Linked DNA regions of Arabidopsis thaliana. The protein of the gene in region 1 interacts with the protein of each later gene in a pairwise test. Each region holds a gene or a part of one and is shown on either strand. Other genes may lie near its edges.

Region 1 (5,961 bases):
TGTACAATTCATAATATTAGTATATATGATACTAGAAGAAAAAAATTTAAATACGTATGACACCGAGTATAAATATCTAATGCAAAATACAGAAAATAAATAGATACTGACGGATAATTCCGGAACACATGAAGGTTTTAACATTTAACCCATAAATCCCAGAACCCGTTCAGTATTTGAATTTAGTTTTTTTATGGCCACGCTCGTTTCGAGTTTGGGCCTGGCTGGATATTTTTTTACCCACAACAAATCTCTACCCATATATATAAATGGGCCTCTCACTTAATAAGCCCATAATACCCTAACATCATGGAGTTGGAAGAGGGTATATAAATGGCCAATTAGGGTTTTGTACGTGCTCTCACTTTTTCTCTCAAGTGGTTCGGAGCTGTTTCTAAGAAAACAACAGGTAGTTCGGATCGGAGCTACGCTTGCAAAACTCAAAACATGGTTCGTCATCCTCTAATCTCTATCTCTTTCTTCTGAGCTTAGTGATTGTTTACATCTAGATAGTTCCTTAACTCGACTCTCGTTTCTGGTGGGTTTGTGTTAGAGTGACTTAGAGAATGGGTTTTGTTAGCAATTTGATTGATTCGATAACTTGTGAATATTATATGCATCATGGTGATTCTCCTTAGATCTGAGCTCATTAGATCTCAAATGTGTCGCTGATTTAGGTCATGATGATGATATACATAGCAGTAGAGATTTCCTTAATAATAACATCTCTTAACATTTATTTTGTTAAATTTTACAGGCGAGGGGTTTGAAGAAGCATCTGAAGAGGCTTAATGCGCCTAAGCATTGGATGCTTGACAAACTTGGTGGTGCATTTGTATGTCTTTTACTCTCTCTCTTCTTGTCTCAGTTTTGATTCAATTTTATATATATCTCTTGGGTTTGTTTGAATAAGTATGTTCATTTCTGGTTCCACACAGGCCCCAAAGCCGTCTTCTGGACCACATAAGTCAAGGGAGTGCCTTCCCCTCGTCCTTATCATCAGGAACAGGTTGAAGTATGCTCTTACCTACCGTGAAGTGATTTCAATCTTGATGCAAAGGCATATCCAAGTTGATGGGAAAGTCAGGACGGACAAGACCTACCCTGCTGGTTTCATGGATGTTGTGTCTATCCCCAAGACCAATGAGAACTTCCGTCTTCTCTATGATACCAAGGGACGTTTCCGTCTCCACTCCATCAAGGATGAGGAAGCAAAGGTTTGTTCTCCTCTTGTCATTGTTTAGTTGTCTTTTAGAGTGATACTTGACATGATGGGGATATGTTGTGTTCTAACATTATGTCTTCTATTTGTACAGTTCAAACTTTGCAAGGTTCGATCTATCCAGTTTGGACAGAAAGGCATTCCTTACCTGAACACTTACGATGGTCGCACCATCCGTTACCCTGACCCGCTCATCAAGCCTAATGACACCATCAAGCTCGACCTTGAGGCCAACAAGATTGTCGAGTTCATCAAGTTTGATGTTGGCAATGTTGTGATGGTTACAGGAGGTAGAAACAGAGGGCGTGTTGGTGTGATTAAAAACCGTGAGAAGCATAAGGGAAGCTTTGAGACAATCCACATCCAAGATTCAACAGGACATGAGTTTGCAACAAGGTTGGGTAATGTGTACACCATTGGCAAAGGAACAAAGCCATGGGTGTCTCTTCCCAAGGGCAAAGGTATCAAGCTGACTATCATCGAGGAGGCCAGGAAGAGGCTTGCTAGTCAACAGGCTGCTTAATTTTGTGATTTTCAGTTCTTTGTTATGCTTCTTTAGACGTTTCATATTTCCTAGACTCACTTCGTTTCTTTTGGTACTCTGCTCAGTTTTGAAACTTCTCTTATATTATTTATTTCAAGAGTTAAAAACATCAAATATCCATTGTGTCCTCTCTTGTTTTTTACTATCTTCAAGAGTTGGTACTAGTTGGTTATGGTTACTTGGTGATAGTTACACAATTATTGAGAATCAGTAAAATAATGAAAAATCTTGTGTTGACTCCTTTGTTAAAAGGGAAGACTTAGATGTAAGAACATATTGATAAAATATGCACTCAAGACTTAGAAGTAGATCCAAGTCCCTAACATGTCATCTTTTTCAACTGTTTTCTCTTTTTACAATGACAAAAAAAGTGATCCAGTTACAATACAACATTACACAACAACACAACAGAGCTGAGCTAACTGTCTAAAAGGATACACAATACATGTTACAAATCCTCCCTGCAAGACTTCGCTATTGGTCATTTAGCAGGTGGTTCGTTACGAAGATGTTACAAGAGGCTATTTTTGTGTTCGTTACCTTCATTTTCTTCCCGTGGTAGTCCCTTTGAACAGCTCGTTAATACGCGCCTCTATGTCCTCAACTCCATACTTGATGTACTTGTCTGCGTTTTTCCCTATGTCTCCAAGGTTTTGGAACCTGCCGATGAAGCTCCCGTATGCCGGTACCAAAAGCCTGGCCAGTGAGATCTTTAGCTCTTCTTTCAGCTGCTCGTCAAACACTACCCACGTCGAATGCACTTTACATATCTCATCAAACTGAATATTGAACTGCTTCAGCTTCTCCTTCATGGTCTTCCCCAAACCGTTCATGCCTGCTGCAGTATTATCCACCTTCAGCAACCCCAGCATCTTATTCCATGAGCTTCTCTGATAATTCATATGGTATTGTTTCACTTTGACATTGTGTTTCCGAATCCAATCATCTCCTAACAGCAATCCTAGGTCTCCATCTTTGACTTTCTGAACAATGTATCTCCCATTATTCATCAGAAACACATAGCACAAAGCTGGATCTTTGTACACTTTAGATTTTACTTCCAAGTTACTCTCTAGAAGCTCCATGATCCAAGACATCTGTACAGTCAACAGAGTTGAATCTTTAGAAGGGACACCATTGCTTTCCTCAAACACTTGCTCTAAGGTTTGCCGGGATCTACAAGCCGCACGGAGGTAATTCATCACATAACGAGTGATCGGGTGGAGACCACCGCCCGGAACCGCAGCTTTAGCCGGGTCTCGCCGGATCAAATTCTCAAGCTCCATAAATATACCTCTTATCGCCTCTCCCAACCGTTTCCAAATAGTTACTGCTTCATTTCTAAGAACTGAGCAAAACTGATCCGAGAACACAGACTCAAATTCAGGCATCAAATCCCTCATTGTCTCAAACACATCAAGCACTTTAAACAATCTCTCAGGCGATCTGCTTCCAATAGCAATCGCGTCTGCGAAATTCAGAAGCTGAATGGTAGAGCCACGACAAACCTCCATAAACGAAAGATCAGCAGCAGAGGAGAAACCGAAGAAGACACGGTCACAGAGTCTACGTTCGCTAGGAAACAGGATTCTTAGAGCAACGTTAGCAGCTTTGATCCACCTATCTATCTCATCTTCTAACTCCTGCCACGGCATCTTATGAACTTCTTCAATACTCAGCTTCTGTAACCCTAACCTTGACATACTTTCTTCCAGAAACTCTCTCCTACAAGAACTATAAACATGAGAACACGCCTTACCAAATCCAGCGCCAAGCATTCGCTTAGCCATCTCGTGTAGATCGTTAATTGTCGCCGAAGGGAGAGCATCAATGATAAGATCGTAGTCAGTGAGTGGCTGTGCCACTGGGATCTGAATATCATCACCGTTGTTGAAGTCTCTGTCATCATCTTCTTCTTCCTCAGAATCGAAACGATGATTCATCGCACCAGCGTCTCCCTGAGGATTAAGTCCGAAAGACTCAGCTCCACGCTCCATAAGCGACCTGAACTCTTCTTCGATGCGGAACATAGCTTGCTGCATCATATCGTCGGCGCGTGTTAGACAGATGCCGATAGGTTTCTCTGAAGCCATGGGACTCCACTCTCTAATGATTGCAACGAGCTCATCGATTGTGTCGAGGAAAGCAGCTGAATCTGCAGGATCAGCCCAAATTGGTTGGTCCGCAGCAACAAAGCGAGAGATCTGACCGTCTATTGAATTTAGAGCTCGCTCGAGTGTGGCGACTCCGGATCCATCTTCTCCAGCTTGACCTTCGGCGAGCTTCTCGCGAGAAAATCTGCCGTCGAAGTTGGAGAAGATCTGTAAGATATCATCGGCCATGGATTCATTGTGGCCAAGTGTTTTGGCTATGTGACGCGCAACAGCAAGTAACTTCTCTTCACCATTCTCCGCCATGATTGAAACAGATGTGGAACCAGTGTATAGAAGATTTTATGTAATCTCGAGTCACTAAATAAAAAGGTCACACAGCGAGATCGACGGGGAAAGAAGCAAGGAAGGGAATCGAAGACGAAGAAAGTTCCAAGCAAGGAAGAAGACTGGATGGATAGAAAAAACTTGTCGAAATGACGAAACTACCCCTTAAGACAGACGCGATCTTTGACCTGGCCGCGTTGTTTGAAAATGGCATGGGCGTGTAATATTGCGATAATTTCTGCTGTCTTTTTGTGAAATCTTTCCCTTTCGCGAATATTGACGTCTCCGTGACTTTTCTGTCATTGCCTCATTGGTCTCGCTTTAGGAGATAAACCGGCCGGTTTACGAGTAAGATTGGTGGCTCGATGGTTCATTTTCTCTCTCGGTCAACTCACTAAAACGAACTGGTTGTTACTTACCAGGAAACAATGGGTATGAGGGCAATGCAGACGCAGTCAGAACTCAGAACTGCTTCTAGAAAACTTATATACAACAACTAAAGAAAACAAAGAACGTTTACCAAACTATCAGATATATCTTTGGCGGCATATACCAGAAAACAATGGGTATGAGTCAATGCAGCTGTAGTCAGAGATGCTTCTAGAAAACTAATTTACAGCAACTAAAGAAAACAAACAAGAACGTTTACCAATCTCTATCAAGATAGATACAACATATGAAAAAGGAAACTACACTTTTTGACAAACCATTATTACGCAATGTGATTCTGTGCCATACATGGATTTGGTATGGTTATGCCAAAATGAACATCGTTCACTCTCTTTTTTTCTGTGTTTGTTAGCTGCTCTGCTTCTCTCTATCGTATTGGCTGGTCTCTTCTGCAACCTTTGCCCAGACGTTTCCCATTTTCTCTGCGTATCCAACCTGCGTCCAATTCAAGAACACAACTCTTTCTTTAAAACTCTGGACTCTTTGATTACTAGCAAATTTATATATTCCTATCCTCTCTTCTACCGCATTATCTTTAAAAGAACTCATTTTCATTTGCCTACAAGAGACCCATGAATGCCATCTTTTTATTCTACTTCTCCACTCTTGAAATCTCACTAAGAATGAAATCACACACTTTGTGCTTAAACTAAACAATCTCCTTATCACATTCTTCACTCTATTGGGCAATTAAGAAAGGCATCATCCTTCTAATGTTAATGTGCTGCATAATAATAACGTACCTGGTTAACAACAAAACCCTTCATCATGTTCATGAAGTCTGCACGCCTTTCTCTGTCCAACCTCTCAACCTCAGATCGGTTGTTTTCCTGCAATGATACAAATTTACACAGAGCATAACCAAAATATTCATATCATGTTGGTAAAACAGCACAAGTTGTGATATGCATAGGGTTATTACTAAATACCTTGATTCGCTCATACCCTTTGATGGCAACATTTTTTGCATCCTCAGTGACCTTGATTGTTTCTTTTAACTCTTCTATTTTTCGGATCCTTGATTTGTCACCACCAAATACCTTCGATGATGCAGCCTCTAGCTTCTCAACTCTAGTTTGCAGAGAAGGAAGCTCTGATAGAAGCGTCTGAACTGTCAGTAAAGCACTAGATCTATCTGCAAATGCGCCTTGGACAGCCATCATCATGCCAAGGTACTCATGGAGTGTGTCCTGAAATGAACAATTAAAATAAAAGAACAGCTCTTAGTGAAGCTCAAATTCCAGCAGCATCTCCAACATAAGCTGACAATCTGCCAAGTGTCCACTAGTTAATAATGAAGATACTTG
Region 2 (4,613 bases), on another chromosome or scaffold:
AATTGGGCTTTTTCATTACATAATAATTCACATGCATGACAATAAGACTTCCAATGTAATAGAAGGGCCCAGGTTCATCCGTTTCTAACTTCTCCTGCAAGCAATCAGAGAGATTGCCTAATACAGAGTTTACACGATTGGTTACGCAGAGGAATTGTTTAAAATCTCCCAAATTTATCCGCCTTTGATCTGGATTCTCTGTCGATGTCTATACACTCGCGTTTAAACTTAGACAAACATAAGTAAGAAAAGCACAGAACATAACTTTCTGTTTTGAATTAATTACTTGTAAATCAAGAAATTCCTAAAACAGAGGAAAAAGTGTCTGTAACGCAGCAACTACAGAATGAAATATACAAGCCCAGGATTCTTGGACAACAAGTTAGTATTCTCTAGTCCTCTTTCAAAGAACTAACATAGCTTGATTGTCTGAAGAGGTGATCACAGAGACACTGAGACAAACAGATATAAAATAAGGGATACATTTACATGCATTTTGTAACTTTGTACATGCATTGTTATTGGATCAATGGAGATTAATTTAATTCCTTATACCAGTAACTAGCAAACAATCCCTAATCTTAAGCTAAATCTTCGTAAGTCTTAGGTATAATAAGCCTAACGGTTTACCCTAGGAAGTGCTTCTAAGGGTTATTCCAGAAGGACCAGAAACAGAGTTACCATTCAAGAAGATTCAGTCCCGGATATAGGTGAAGACAACTCGGAACCGACATTAAGATCTCTTTCCCTAAAGCCGATTTGACGAAACAGTTGACGAACTTCAAAGCATCTCAAGCACTCAACTTCATACACAACCTTTATCCCAAACGCAACAAGAAGTTGTTTGTCTTGTGTAGTTATGAGCACTATGCTCCCTGGACCAAAACAGTTAAAATATTCTGCAAGAGCATCTAACTGTTCGAGTTTGTCGACATTGTTAGCCACAAGTAGAACTTTCTGACTCATGAGCCTTTTTTTTATCAACCCTGAGGTCTTCATCCTCGAGTACCCTCCTTGAATCCTGATAAGAAACTCGTCTCTTAGATTCGACATTTGACAATCGTGAGGGATCCCTTTGACGTTTTCGAGAAAACAATGACTTTGGAATTTCTTAAAGATCTTTTGATAAACGTATCTAGCTAGAGCTGATCTTCCATTACCTCCTCTTGCCCAAATTCCAACCACTCTCACACCTTCATTAGAATCCAAATCCAACAATGGATACAACTCTTTCATGCGTGCATCAAATCCAAGTTGGTTATTGATGCTCTCACTTGGTGGTGTTACCGAGAATAACATGTCAGAAATTCTCTTGGTTATCTCATCGAGTAGCTTCGAGTCATCTTCGCTATAACAGAGGAAAGAACGAACTTGATTCAACAAAACCACTTAGGATTCAAATTGTGATAATAAAACAAAGATAGAAAAGTACCAATCACGAGAACAATGGCCGGAGATACTGGCCAAATTGGTCAGAGCTTGTCTCCATGACACCACAGTCTCATAATTTTCCCTTCCTTCATGTTTCCTAAACTGTTTAGCGACCTGTTCGATTTGTCTTCTCACATGAGCAGGCTCGACGTTGTAAAAGATTGGCATAACGATGATGGAACCCTTCTTTTCGACATCCATGATCATCACTAGCTCTTGGAGACACCAGGGAGACGCAGAGTAATTCTTTGAGATAATCACAACGGCGATTTTGGAGTTTTCGATCGCGGCGAGGAGATCTGAAGCAATCCGACGACCACTCTGGAGTTCAACGTCGTCTTTGAAAGTTCGAATACCCATTTCAATGAGTTCTTTGTAAAGAAAGCTAATGAAGGTCCTGCGAGTGTCCTTGCCTCTGAAACTCAGAAAGACGTCGAACTTTTGTGGAGTAGCTGAAGAAGAAGACGATGATGAATACATTGGACTGAATCAAAATAAACATCGGTTTTTTTACTTTCAAACTTTGGAAGATGATAGATGGCTTGATTTGAGAAGTTAGCGAAAGAGAGCAAAGCTCAATAGTACATATAGATTCAGATAGCATAATAATTAAAATTTCCAAGAAAGTGTTGAGAATTTACCAAGAAAAGGTTATTAAAAGTCATGAAACTGAAAGGGTCCAAAGAATAAAACCTACGTATCGCTTATTCGATCAATATTCGAATTGGCGATCTACGTGTTAATGCTTTGATGATCAGTCATCAGATGATGTAACTCCAATTCTATTTCTAGAAAATCTTAATATATATTTCACCATTGAGACTTTTTCTAAGATATAAGGGAACGTGCAATCCTAAGAGTATACTGCACGGAATAAACGGTCGGTGATGGTTGAATAGTTTTGATGCTGAGCAAACGGAAAAACTGTGGTCAGTGCTACGTAAATATATTAATTACTATTTATTCTTTATTATGAGTTGTCATTGGTAACGTGGAGGACCTAAAAAAAATTCGAAGTGACTTTAGCCAAGGATTGAATGTTTCATCATGAGGTCATAACGGATTTAGCTTATGTAGACTTGTAGTGATTCCACATGTTGCTGAAGTGAAAAACCCAAATCTTCAAACGTTTTGCCAACTCGGCTCCCGTGTCTTTAACATGTCGCATCACCATCTACAGCTTACCACGTCAGCTTCCACGTCTCTATCAGCTTGTTTTCCATCTAGTCTGTATTCTTTAATCCATTCTCATATATCATATACTTTTGTTTTTTTAGTACTTTTATAGTCTACTATTGTTTCAACAAATGATAGTCAGAAAAATAAAATGATAAATTTAAAACATAGCCAATGTAAAATATAGCATTTTCAACACATAATAATATACCTTCAGTGTGAATGCATTAATATTTGTCCATTTCTCTGTATCTGCAGCGGTTTCAAGCAGGTATGTGTCCCCTGTTTCTGCTACTTCTATTTTCGTTGGCCAGTAAGATTAAATGGCTATTCGTTTATAACTAGACTAATTTTCCCTTTTCCATAAATCTTGGATATTTAGAAGAGATGATTATACAGACTTACAGAGATAAACCTATAAGTAGATAAGAGATAACACACAATACCATTGTGTACTCCATGACCAAAACTGTGCGAAAGAAATATAAAAGATGGGCTTTGTTGATACCTACGTTTATAAGCGTTGACGCACATGCATTATCATTGAGGAAACCAAACAAGATGTAAGGGAATATAATACAGGTGTTTTATCTTTGGGATGCTTCCACGATATCTTTATCTTCTAATGCTTCCATAATCTTCCAAACTTCCTTTATGTCTTTACCTTGCTTTGCATTGAGTTTAAGCAGTGTAGCTTCCCACTCCTCTTTATCTCTACCAGTTAAAAACGAACCAAACAGTCTAATGGTCACAGGAAGAAACCCTGCAAGCTGAACAGCACGAACTGAGAGGCGTTCAAAATCAGGAGAAGGATATGGCTGCTTGAAAGCAAAACGTGAGAAGAGTTGGAGAGCTTCATCATATCTTAGAGAACCAACTTCATACACATGATTCACTCCTGATTGCACAAGCAAACTTTTTTCTTGAGTGATTAGAATGACTCTACTTCCTGGAGCAAACCAGTTGGCGTTCTCCGCGATCCACTTTCCTTGTTCAATGTTGTTCACACCATCAGCTATCAAAAGAACTTTCCGGTGTTTTTGCTTTGCTTCCGCCATTTCATTCATCTCATGATTCACACTTCTAAGATCTTCCCCTTCAAAGTTTTCTGACGGTAGAAGCATTTCTTTCATGTTTTCGACGTTTTCTAGGAAAACATGCGCCTGAAATTTAACAGAGATCTCTGCATAAGTGTACCTTGCAAGTGTTGTCTTTCCCACACCTGAACTACCCCAAATACCAATGGTACGAACCTTTTCGTCAGATTCTAAAGCCAACAACGCATACAATGCTTTCATGTGACGGTCCATTCCTGCAAGGCCTTTGAAATCGCTTGATGCAGAGGACAGAAACATAAGCCTAATGTCATCAGCAATCTGCTTGATCCGGTGTGTTCCGTGCATCACCGCAAGATTCCGAGAAAACGAGTACTGTGCAGCTATGTTGTCCAGTTTGGCAATTGCAGTCCTCCAAATTTTGGCTCTCTCAGGAAATATTTGAGAGACTTTTTCCACATCCAAAGGGTGTTTTGTGAGGAAGACTGGTATGACAGTGAGTGAACGTTTCTCTTGAAACTCAATTATTACAATGAGCTCTTCAAGGAACCCAACTGAAGAAACTTCTTCATCAGACGTCATGACAACTGCAACTTTGGACTCTGTCAAAGCCTCAAGCGTTCGTAGATCAATTGGTTTGAAGCTACTCTCCTTCCAGCTTTCGGATTTAAAAGCTTTGATACCATTTCGTGACAAATCATAACCAAAATCAACGTCAAGAGCTATCTTACCGCTGAAACTCAAGAACACATCCAACTCTCTTCCAGCCAACAAAAAAGAATAAGAAGTAGACATTCACTTTTTTGTTTTAGCAGCAACTAAATAAACAAAGATTACAAAGTATATTTCTTTTTTTTTTTGTGTCAGTGTGTGTGTGCATTCTATACCATTTGAAGGAAATGAAGATAAGGTACCAGGCCATTTAGCGTTGACTTGTCACTGTAAAGCTGT
Region 3 (5,402 bases), on another chromosome or scaffold:
TATCAGATAATGTGTCAAGTTGGTTGGAGGAATATAAAACCGATCATTAGACTTGTAGATTACAAGAGCATAAAGGCCTAACCTATATAATAAGTAAACACAAGAAAAAGCTTAAATCTCTCTTCCAAACAGTTGATTTCCTAAGGATCATTCTGGGTACCACGTCAATTTTTGTTTGCCTAAATAAAAGAAGAAGGAAAAATACAAAAGAGAAGGATAAAAGGGGATAACTATACCGGGATGGTTCTAATTAGCTTAGTAGCTATGTGGGTGGTCTGATCCACCGGAATCGAGTTCTTAAGTACACTTGAAGCCATGGCAAACCGACAAAATGATGATGAGAATCAAAGCGACAATGATGCCAAAGACTATGAGCTTTATCTTCATGTTTTCGAACCACAACTTTCTTTTCATCTTTGTTCCTTGTGTTCTAAAATCTTGTGCCTATTAACAAACAGAAGAAGAAGAGCATGTTACCACTAGATAATAGTGATGTAGTGTCTCTTATACTGTATTTGAGATGTGGTTATTATTAACCTGTGAGCGAAGGTTCTCAGTTTTGTCTACTAATAGCTCGATTTTCTCTCCACGGTCAAGGACCTGCCATAGGATTGAATTGCAGAAAACACATTCAGCTTACAGGTGAGGAGTTGTCGATGAAAAACATGGATAATTTAGTCTAACCTTCTCAATATTCTCCATCATAACACCCTTCACTTCAGTCACCTGAGCCTTAACTTTGGAAAGTTTGCTAATCTCCTCAGGATGATCCGCACAGTACTGCATGTGCTCCTTCAATTTAGACCTACATTCATTACAACAAAACCATTTAAAACACACATCCACAAAGATGGAATTGAAAAGAAATGCTCTGACTAAAAATGTTAAAAGTACCCGAATTCTTTGTTCAAGCTGTTGGCTTTAGCAGTGGAAGCTTTTCCACCACCGTATCTCTTGTTGAAATCCTCCTTGACTCTCTCCAAGAAAGCCATTGGTATCTGCCTCCCAGCAGATTCAATAACAACAACACAATAGGCTGCATAACAACAGAGGGAAATGAGAAATCTTATTGTCACATTCCAACTAAAGCAAATTCGTGCATTGGACAACCAAAGCTTTCCAAACATAAAAATCTTCACAATAAACATTCCAAAGAAGCCATGCATAAAGCTGATTAAAATCAGAACGAAAACAACAGATTGCATATCCAATCAAGACATGGCATTGATTAGAAGAAAATCTGAATATAACACAATGCCACAAGAATCGAGAGCAACGAATATCCTACGAAATTCAAAGCTACACTGTTCTCGAACATTTGATTTCGAAACTAAGCATTCATAAGAAAACAGATGAACCAAGGCATAAACAGAGAAATACAGAGCAAAATCGACACAGATCGGGAGATAGAGACTTACTGAAGCCATTATCAGCGAGATAATTGAAAGTGTGACCGTCGCAATTGTAGGTAAATTTGTTGTTCGAGGACGGAAGTTTCTGGAGACACTGAGCGGCGACGGAGGTGAAATTGCCCTTGAACTCGGTATACTCGGCGAGGATCACCGTACCGCGAGCGACGAAGCTGTAGATCAACGATTGTTGTCCCATTCTTCCTTTTATCCAGATGAGAGAAAGATAAAAAAACGAAACCTAAGAACACCACAAAAATCCGATCGAATTGATGAGAGAGATTAGTAAGCGATGTAAAAATACACAAGGGAACGAGGGGTAGCGATGGAGAAAGCAGGACGCAGAGATCGGAGAAGAGAAACTATATGAGAGCGCTGGATTTGCGCGAGTAACAGAGACATTATTTTCCCTTTGGTAACGTTCAAATTTTGAATTTTTAAATATAAAAAGTAAATAAAAAGAAAAATTCATCATTTGTATAGTCGAAAATTGCCTTAATAAACTTTATTTTGGTAAATAATTCACGTCTAATTAATAATAGTATCTTCATGTTTTTACACCACGGTGGCTCGTTTTTCAATTCAAATGTGAAATGTTTATCAATGAGCATTTTAAAAAACAAATATATATATATATATATATATTATATATTGATTTTTTATAAAGAAAATTGCGATGTGTAAGGGATATTTGAGTTGTTAAATTTTCTATAAATTATATGTTATGTTACTTAAAAGAACGTTCAATTGATAATGTTGCAAACCTTCCTACCAAAAAAATTAAAATAATGTTGCAAACCTTTTCTTTCATTCCAATTCACTAACCTTCTATTCTAACCACAACCTAACTACCTAAATTTCAATTATTTGATTGTTGATCAAAATCTTTAGGAACACGTTAAACAAATTAATTAGCAGGTTCTAAACAATGCAGAGCAATTGTAGATGACAAGAGATAACGGTAGAAGTTCGAATTTTGTTGCTGTAACAAGATACTATGACTATGAGCTCCCCCCGTCCATTAAGAATTAAGAAATTTGGTTAATTACAACATTTGTTTTTATGTTTAAGCCTTTTGTTCGTAACTGAGCTAATACTGGAATCACTGATCAATGATGAATTTGGAAAAAAAGATATTTTGAGGAAGACAGAGACAGACTCTCTTCGACCATGGGACCTGAACTTGTCCTAAAGTTGGTAATTACTAATTTGTGCCATCGGCAGAGTCCACGAGCTTTTTGGCTGGATCCGGGCGGGTCCAACTTTCTCGACATTTGTTTGATCTCTCCGTTTTGAAATTGTTTTTTTTTAGTCCTTAAATTCAAGGTTTTATACTATTTTTGACCCAATCTGACTACCTTAAATGACAACTTTACCCTTGCCCGCTTTTCAACTTTTTCTTCTCCCATGTCCACTTTAGTCCTCGTTTTGTTCTTTCATAGTCTTCTAGATCTGTAGTTTTTTTCCGCGACCGCCCAAAAAATTCTCTGATCAGACGGTCGATTGGATCGGAGATTTAAGGTAAAGAAAAAATGGCGCAACAATCGTTGATCTACAGTTTCGTAGCTCGCGGCACGGTGATCCTCGTTGAGTTCACTGATTTCAAAGGTAATTTCACCTCAATCGCTGCTCAGTGCCTCCAGAAGCTTCCGTCTTCGAACAACAAGTTCACCTACAACTGCGACGGTCATACCTTCAATTACCTTGTCGAAGATGGATTCAGTAAGTCACTTTTCGTTTGATCTATGCATAGGTTTTAATCTTACACCATTCGGTGCTTACCTCGATTTGTTTCTAGGTTTATTTGCCTAACCTATCGATTCGTATGGATTTGTGCATCCTGAGTAGTCTGATTTCACTGAGGAACCGCATGAACCAAGCTTTTAGGGTTAGATCTATATTTATTAAACGCAATAAATCTCTGTAGAGTCTTACCTGTATAATCACTCAGATTTGGACAGAATCCGTGGTAGCTTTGGTTGATACTATGTGGAAGAACACCAACATTGATCTGAGACAGGGTTTTTACTGGTTGCTTTATTTGCGTATAGTTTCCTAGGTCATGGGTTTTGGCTGGCTTCATTTTTCAATGAAAATCTGGGGTCTTATTGTAAGCTTTTGTGACTATCCTTTAGTTGTTGTAGCCATATCAATTTCATATTAAATCAATGTCACCTGATTATCCCGTAAGGGAAGACAAGGAGATTGATTTTGTTCCTGTTGTACAGCCTATTGTGTTGTTGCGGTTGATTCTGCTGGGAGGCAAATTCCCATGTCCTTTTTGGAAAGAGTAAAAGAAGATTTTAACAAGCGATATGGTGGTGGAAAGGCTGCAACTGCTCAAGCAAACAGCTTGAATAAGGAGTTTGGGTACTTTTTCATTATCTCTTCTATTTGGATGATCTTCTCTTTTATATTCGTGGACTGACTCTTTTTGGTAACTTTGAAGCTCTAAACTGAAAGAGCATATGCAGTATTGCATGGATCATCCTGATGAGATTAGCAAGCTTGCTAAGGTGAAGGCGCAAGTGTCAGAAGTTAAGGGTGTAATGATGGAAAACATTGAGAAGGTTTGAATCTGACCCTTTCTGTCCTCAATGTATATATTTACATCTATGGTTGACCCATCTGAAAGAGCTCATCTAGTCATACTAAGTTACTGTGAAATCAATTACTAATAATTCAATGCATTACATCTTACGGGAAATGTCCAGTTTACCAATGTAACACCGCTTACATATGCGACTCATTATTTGCAGGTTCTTGACCGTGGTGAGAAAATTGAGCTTTTGGTGGACAAAACCGAAAATCTTCGCTCACAGGTTAGACTCTCTCATACCCTTATCTCCTGCATCTATTTGCCTACACTCACACACAAAGATGAACATGCTTTTTGAGTTCATAGCTGACTCATCCTATTACCATATCTTGTGTCTAACTGAACTCAAACTGCCACAGGCACAAGATTTCAGAACAACAGGAACGCAGATGAGAAGAAAGATGTGGCTTCAGAACATGAAGATAAAACTCATAGTGCTCGCCATCATTATCGCACTGATTCTCATCATCGTGCTCTCAGTTTGCCATGGGTTTAAGTGTTAAGCCCAGAAAATTCAAAACTTCTGAGATCTTTCTCACTCGGTACATCGTAGTGCCTTCTCTTTTATTGTTCGATCTTCAATCTAATGTTTCTGCTTGAATTGGTTTTGTATAGATAGACATATATGTATGCTACTCATTTGCTATATTGCTTGCATCTGATGACATTGATCCCTTGCGAACCAGTCAGTACTTGACAAGAGATCCGAAACTATTAAATGATTTTGTTGACTGAAGATTGCATTGTGGTGGTGATGATAAAAATTTGAGATTGTATTGACGATTATACGGCGTGATGTGTGCTGGTTACTTTAAATTTAGATAAGAGTAGTGCCCTCTCTATATCGTTACTAGGGATGGTAGTACATATATATACGTACGTCATATTCCGACCACCAAGGTTGTTTTGTTCAAACTCCTCCCGCAACGCTTGAGTAGATCTTGTCGGCCATCGGGTCGTTTATGAGTTCAAACATACGTGTTTACTCTGCTATCAGTAGGAGCAACCAATACAGAGTTTAGTAGTACATACAGAAGCATCTTGTCAAGAAACAACAATCTGTAGTCACAATGGTATAAATATTTGGGCTATTTTAGTTAAGTGGGCCGAATATTTAATGGGCCGTAAAACCTAATTTGAGATCCTGCAACCAAAACTTTCCCGCTAAAACACTCTCATTCCCGCTCAAGCTCACACCAGATTCCGATTTTCACTTTTGTTCACCGAGCACCAAATCCCAACAAAATTCCGATACGGTCAATCATATCAGAGAATGGAATTCGATATCCCATTGCCGGAGGAGCTTGAGCTTCTAGAAGCCAATTCTCATTTCTACGAAGAAGAAGATGAGTACCTAAACTTTGAGGAGCCGCCATATCCTTACCCAATCGACG

What was found. The genes of interacting proteins can lie anywhere in the genome.
Region 2: the proteins of EXO70B1 (region 1) and AT1G17615 interact in a two-hybrid assay, tested with the Arabidopsis thaliana proteins (one study listed by BioGRID).
Region 3: the proteins of EXO70B1 (region 1) and VAMP721 interact in a two-hybrid assay, tested with the Arabidopsis thaliana proteins (one study listed by BioGRID).

The regions. Positions count from the first base shown.
Region 1 is NC_003076.8:23,619,152-23,625,112, forward strand, and holds EXO70B1 (exocyst subunit exo70 family protein B1), read right to left. Parts: upstream 4,393-5,961; 5' UTR 4,184-4,392; coding exon 2,309-4,183; 3' UTR 2,001-2,308; downstream 1-2,000. Other genes in the region: AT5G58420 (Ribosomal protein S4 (RPS4A) family protein), read left to right, coding at 448-450, 758-835, 939-1,217, 1,317-1,745; SNX2a (sorting nexin 2A), read right to left, coding at 5,003-5,089, 5,398-5,484, 5,584-5,844. UniProt on the Arabidopsis thaliana protein: Component of an exocyst subcomplex specifically involved in autophagy-related, Golgi-independent membrane traffic to the vacuole. Regulates autophagosome formation and autophagy-related Golgi-independent import into the vacuole.
Region 2 is NC_003070.9:6,056,739-6,061,351, reverse strand, and holds AT1G17615 (Disease resistance protein (TIR-NBS class)), read right to left. Parts: upstream 1,964-4,613; 5' UTR 1,912-1,963; coding exon 1,433-1,911; intron 1,349-1,432; coding exon 685-1,348; 3' UTR 501-684; downstream 1-500. Other genes in the region: AT1G17610 (Disease resistance protein (TIR-NBS class)), read right to left, coding at 3,195-4,457.
Region 3 is NC_003070.9:1,330,966-1,336,367, reverse strand, and holds VAMP721 (vesicle-associated membrane protein 721), read left to right. Parts: upstream 1-2,716; 5' UTR 2,717-2,941; coding exon 2,942-3,131; exon of another isoform or gene 3,132-3,637; coding exon 3,638-3,779; intron 3,780-3,858; coding exon 3,859-3,979; intron 3,980-4,168; coding exon 4,169-4,231; intron 4,232-4,367; coding exon 4,368-4,511; 3' UTR 4,512-4,902; downstream 4,903-5,402. Other genes in the region: VAMP726 (vesicle-associated membrane protein 726), read right to left, coding at 298-444, 538-600, 685-805, 895-1,036, 1,419-1,608; CTF18 (P-loop containing nucleoside triphosphate hydrolases superfamily protein), read left to right, coding at 5,282-5,402. UniProt on the Arabidopsis thaliana protein: Involved in the targeting and/or fusion of transport vesicles to their target membrane.